Linked DNA regions of Sus scrofa. The protein of the gene in region 1 interacts with the protein of each later gene in a biochemical or structural test. Links are inferred from orthologs where the notes say so. Each region holds a gene or a part of one and is shown on either strand. Other genes may lie near its edges.

Evidence for each region. The genes of interacting proteins can lie anywhere in the genome.
Region 2: of the proteins of MALT1 (region 1) and RELB, one has a biochemical effect on the other in vitro, tested with the Homo sapiens proteins (2 studies listed by BioGRID). The link is inferred for Sus scrofa from reciprocal best matches to the Homo sapiens genes MALT1 and RELB.

Annotation. Positions count from the first base shown.
Region 1 is NC_010443.5:162,082,361-162,085,928, forward strand, and holds part of MALT1 (mucosa-associated lymphoid tissue lymphoma translocation protein 1), read right to left. Parts: intron 1,808-3,568; coding exon 1,682-1,807; intron 99-1,681; coding exon 1-98. UniProt on the Homo sapiens protein: Protease that enhances BCL10-induced activation: acts via formation of CBM complexes that channel adaptive and innate immune signaling downstream of CARD domain-containing proteins (CARD9, CARD11 and CARD14) to activate NF-kappa-B and MAP kinase p38 pathways which stimulate expression of genes encoding pro-inflammatory cytokines and chemokines.
Region 2 is NC_010448.4:51,478,254-51,480,911, reverse strand, and holds the end of RELB (transcription factor RelB), read right to left. Parts: intron 1,380-2,658; coding exon 994-1,379; 3' UTR 562-993; downstream 1-561.

The DNA of each region.
Region 1 (3,568 bases):
ATGAGAGGTTTCCCGACATTCACTTCCTGCTTTTCCTCTATGGTATCTTCCAATCCTGAGTATTGATATGATAAACATACTGTGAAGACAAGATGTTCCTGAAAAGAAAAAGTAAGGTTTGCCATTTTTATCAACCATGAAAGTACATCAGTCTTAGATTATCATTCACACACACAAATACAGGCAAAATCGAACAACATCAAACCCACTCTTACTCCCCCTTCCCAGGTTCCAAACCTTCAGGGTATCCTTTACTTTTTTTTTTTTTTTTTTTGCTTTTTAGGCTGCACCTGTGGCGTATAGAAGGTGTTGAACTGGAGCTGCTGCTGCCGGCCTACGCCACAGCCACCGCAACACAGGATCTGAGCCACGTCTGTGACCTGCACTGCAGCTCATGGCAACACCGGATACTTAACCCACCGAGTGAGGCCAGGGATTGGACCTGAATCCTCATGGTTCATAACCTGCTGAGCCACAACGGGAATTCCCTCCTTTAAAATTTCTCTACTAAGAAAGGTAGCTAAAATTATCTTCCTTCTCTCACAGTAATTTGAATTGGTAGAATTCTGGTTCTTACTATTGAAAGTAACCAAAATCACAGAGATGTGGTATTCCCTTTTTTTTTTTTGGCTTTTCAGGGCTGAACCCGTGGCATATGGAGGTTCCCAGGCTAGGGGTCCAATCGGAGCTACAGCTGCTGGCCTACACCACAGCCACAGCAACATGGGATCTGAGCCGTGTCTGCAACCTACACCACAGCTCACAGCAATGACAGATCCTTACACTGAGCGAGGCCAGGGATCGAACCCGAAACCTCTTGGTTCCTAGTTGGATTCATTTCCGCTGCGCCACAACGGGAACTCCTGGTATTACATTATTGACGAAGAGTGAAAAGGCATTTTCCAAGCAATGGGGCTTGGGAAACTCTTTCCCCATAACTGGAGATGGGCAATCAATGACCTTTTAATGAAATGATCGGCATTACATCTAAGTCAAAAGTTTAGCTATTTTAAAAATACTGTCAAATAATCCCAACCATAAGTGGGAAACTATAACTGAATCATAAAATGGACTAAATTGCAAAGATACAAGGAGAGTTTAAGTGGATGAGCCATAAACAGGGTGACAACAGGTTTCTCTGACAGTTGTCCTTGTGTCACTGTCAGTAGAGCCCACTTCATTCCCCAAGTTCAGGCTAATACATTCCATGGTCATGCAGCTATAAATAAAAACTCAGGTTCATCAAGAATATTAGAATATTAGAAAGCGCAACGCTATAGACCATGTACCATGTCATTTCTCATTTGTAAGATTAACAAGAAATGAAAAAAGATTCAAATAAATTCCAATTTGAATTTGTTTTGCAGAAAGTCACAGAACTAGGAAGTGCTTATTTGAAAATGCTAAGATATTTAAAAGTAGACTATGTTCTTTGTCTCTAATGTTTTAACAGTTTGGAAGATAACTACATGCATTCTCACACCCAAATCCTCGGGCCATCATCGGGGATGGGTTACAGTTGAGAAAGGTCAGTGATGAGACTCGCCCTATAGCCATCATCTCTATTTCAGTTTACAATGCAATGAAGCAGCACATCTATGGACCAAGGGTTCACAGGCAAAAATGGATTTTCACTTTCATAGTTTTCCCTTAGTAGTTATAAACAGGAAATAGCAATAACCTTTAATTTTTGCAGGGAGCTGAGTCTGGTATAGAGGCAATGCTTGGGAAGTTCCTTTGATACTAAATAGCTGCCAGTTTCTTCAGGTGTCTCTTTATTTGCATCTTTTGGATCAATATCTAGGTCCTGTGAAGTCAGTAAGTGTTATTAATGAAATCAGCAAAAGTCACAACACCGATGACAAAACATCTTAATAAGTACTGTTCTCTGATGAATCATGGTTTGAGTAGGTAATCCTTTACCCAGGACTAAAAAAACAAGATTGTAGAGTAATAATAGGAATTCTATATTCCTCACCAATACACTTAAAAATCAGTCTGAAAGGATAGTTACTTAACGAAGTATTCCTACAAACACTGCTAAGCGTCCTTCAAATTTCTTTTTTAACTTAAAAAAATTTTATTAAGGTTTTGTTGATTTATTGTGTTGTGTCAATTACTGCTATTTAGCAAAGGGACTCAAATATACATTTATTTTTATATTCTTTTCCACTATGGTCTATCCCAGGAGGTTGGATAGAATTCCCTGTGCCATACAGTAGGACCTTGTTGTTTATTCTTTCTAAATATAATAGTCTGCATCCACTAACCCCAAACCTGGACTCCATCTCTCTCTCCTTCCCCCTCCCCCTCGGCAACCACAAATCTGTTCTCTCTGTTTGTGAGTCTGTTTCTGTTTTGTGTATAGATTCATTTGTGCCATATTTTAGATTCCACATATAAGTGATGTCATGGTGTTTATCTTGATCTGACTTACTTCATTTAGTATGATAATCTCTAGTTGCATCAAGTTTCCTTTTTTTTTTTTAAAATCTTTTTCCAGGGCTGTACCCACGGCATATGGAGGTTCCCAGGCTAGGGGTAGCTGTAGCTGCCAGCCTATACCACAGCCACAGCAACTCGGGATCCGAGCCGTGTCTGCAACCTACACCACAGCTCAGGGCAATGCTGGATCTTTAACTCACTGAGCGAGGCCAGGGATCGAACCTGCAACCTCATGGTTTCTAGTTGGATTCGTTAACCACTGTGCCACGACGGGAACTCTGCATCAAGTTTCCTTTTAACTTAGAGCCCTTTTTAGTGTTTGGCTCCTGGATTTTCTCCCTCCTTATCACTTTTTTTTGGGAAGGTGCAGGGGATTTATGTGATTTGGATATTTAAGAATGAATGGACATGCCAAAGGCAGCCCTTCCCTTTTTCTTCTTTACAGCCAACTGTTGCTGAGAGCAGATCTGCTCTGCAACTCTAGACAGCAGCCCTTAGGCTCTACCTGCCCAGTGCCCAGAGTCCAGAGTGGCTGTGACTGGCAGACAGGCTTGTTTAATTCTGGGGGTCAGTGAGGACCATTCATTCTCACACTGAGCAATATCCTCCACAGAGCCTTTATCAGAAGCAAAGGAGAAGCTGTGGATTGTTTCTTAGTCTGTGCTTAAGTCTTAATTTATTACAACTGTGTAGTAAAGAGGGCTATTGTTTAGTCTCTTCTTTAGGCCAATACAAAATAAGTATCATATCTCAATGTTTGCAAAGAATTAGGTTTCTCTTCCTCCAATACACCTATTTAGCTTGACAAATGTGACTTACACTGTTACAGCTTTTTTGAAAACAATACTTTTTAAAAGGAAATCATTCTGGACATATGTATAATATACTTTATTCCTTCATATTTCATGTCCTATTTAGGGTAAGGGAAATTAAAGCCTTCTTTTCTGAGTGATCTTCAGACATTCCTAAATGACCATATTTAAGATATTCTGGCCATTAGTCTTTAAATATGACTATTGATACTGAAATACAAATACTTTTATATATAACATATATATACACATATTTCCTTTTTATTAATCATCAACTTTTAAGTTTTCAAAAATTTAGTCTTTAGTAAGTG
Region 2 (2,658 bases), on another chromosome or scaffold:
TGAGCTTAGGGGGAAGGCTGGTGGATCGGGCAGAGCCCCGAGGATCTGGACAGGGCTCGAACGTCGGGTCTGGACCTGAAGGTTCGGGTTAAGTTTTTTTGACAAGGGGGCGGGACCTGTGGCAAGCTGCGGGTCTGACGGCGCGAGTTCGGGCCGATGGCGGGGGCAGGGCGAGGCCTGAGGCCCGGCAAGCAGACGGGGTGCGGGGCGGGCGGCCCTCGGGGCCAGGGCCGAGCGGAGGTTCACAGCAGAACGGAGAGAGGCTGAGGCAAGGGCGAAGCTGGGCTGACGTCTACCAGAAGCCAGGAGACCGGGGCCCGCCGCCTGCACTCACCGGCTCGTCGCCGCCTCCCACCTCTGCGCTCTCGCGCGGCCCGCACCGGAAACGGAAGTGGGCGGTGGAGGGGAAGGGGGACACGGTGCGGCGGAGGCGCGCTTCCGCCGACGCGAGGGGCGGGTCCAAGGTTAGGGTGTGGACGGAGGGGCGGGGCCTGGAGGAGGGCGGAGCGGAACCGAGAGCCAAGGGACTTTGTACCCAAGGAGCCGGGGAATTTTCTCAAGTGCAGAAGAGATGAGACCCCCCCCGGGCTCAAAAATTCGTCTTTATTGGGAAGACTGTGAACAATTACCCCCCCCACCTTCAGGCGTGGGGAGGGAGGGCTAGGGATCTGCGCCCCCCTCCCCTATTTACACTTTAGAATCCGCCGGGAGAAGGCACCCCAGCTGAGGCAACTTTAAAGAGCTAGTATTTGGAAGCCAAACCCCTTTTCCTCTCCAGACTCAGTTTTCTCATTTGTAAAATGGGCTCAAGGGAAACCGATGCTACGGCGTTTCTCTCCAGCACTGAAGATGTCCGATTAGGAAGGATGAGGACGTCGGAAGACGGACCAAGGGCAGCCCAAGGGGATGGGGGTGCTGGACATCCCGGTTGGGTTTGCACGGCCCCTTCCACCACCCTCCCCACCCAGTGCCTCTCCTCCAGTGCCGCAGGGGCTACGTGGCCTCAGGCCCGGGGGACAGGAGGCCGCTTCCAAAGCCCCCCTCGCGGTACTGGTTGGGGAACATGTTGCTGCCCACGAGGCTGGCAGTGCCTCCATCCCCGGAGCCCGGGGCCTGGTACGAGTCCAGCGTCAGCGGCTCAGGGCCCGGGGGCTCCGCGACCGGGGCCCCTGCCCCCCCGTTGCCCGCGACAGCGCTGGAGAGTGGTGGCGCTGGGGGCAGCATGTCCAGCATGGTGAAGAGTGTGGGGGCAGCAGGGTCATAGGCAAAACCATCGTCCAGGAGATCCGGCCCGCCGGGGGGCTCCAGGCCAGGGAGGGATACAGTGCCTGGGAAGAAGTCTGTGTCTGGCAGCAGCGCTGACGGTGGGAGGAACGGGCCTGCAGGGAGGAGGAGAAAGAAGGAAATAGGGTGGACTTTGAGGATCAGCCTCCTGCCGGGTCCTAACTCAAATGCCCAGTCTGTTACTAAATGCATTTTCAGTGCAGTCTCCATTAATGTCAAGAAGAAAACCCTCAGTAAAAGCTATCACCATTCTCTCTTTTTTCTCTTTTTGGTTACCATAAAATTTTTTTTGAGGTATAGCTGATGTACAATATTGTATGTTTCCAGTGCACAACACAGTGATTCACAATTTTTTAAGGTTATATTCCACAGTTATTATAAAATTCCCTGGACTGCACAATATGTCCTTGTGCTTATTTTTATTTTTTAAATTTTATTTATTTATTTTTGCTTCTTAGGGCCGCACCTGCAGCATATGGAAGTTCCCAAGCTAGGGGTCCAATCAGAGCTACAGCCGTCGGCCACAGCCACAGCCATAGCAACACAGGATCCAAGCCATGTCTGTGATCTACACCACAGCTCATGGCAATGCCAGATCCCTGACCTGCTGAGCGAGGCCAGGGATCAAACCCAAATCCGCATGGACTCGAGTCAGATTCGTTTCCGCTGCACGACACTGGGAAGTCCCTATTTATTTTATACATAGTGGTTTGTACCTCTTAATCCCCTACCCTCTCTTCTCCCTCCCCCCTGCCCTCTCCCAGCTGGTAACCACTAGTTCTCTATATATCTGTGAATCTGCTTCTTTTTTTATTTTCACTAGCTTGTTTTCTTTTTTAGATTTCACATGTAAGTGATATCATACAGTCTTTGTCTTCCTCTGATTTATTTCACTAAGCATAATATCCTCCAAGTCTATCCATGTTGTTGCAAAGGGCAATTTTTCACTTTTTATGGCGAGTAGTATTCCATCGTGTATATATACCATATCTTCTTTATCCATTCAGTTGTTGATGGGAACTTAAGTTGCTTACATATCCTGGCTATTGTAAATAGTGCTGCTATGAACCCTGGAGTTCATGTATTTTTTTTCTGAATTAGTGGAGTGGAATTGCTGGTTCGTATGGTATTTGCAAGTGAGATGCCAAATCAGGGGTTAGTATCCAAAATATATAAATAGTTCATACAACTCAACATCATAAAAACAACTGATTTAAAAATGGGCAGAAGACCTGACAGACATTTTTCCAAAGAAGAGATACAGATGGCCGACAGGCACATGAAAAGATGTTCAACATCGTTAACCATCAGAGAAATGCAAATCAAAACCACAATGAGATATCACCTCACACCTGTCAGAAGGGCTATCGGCAA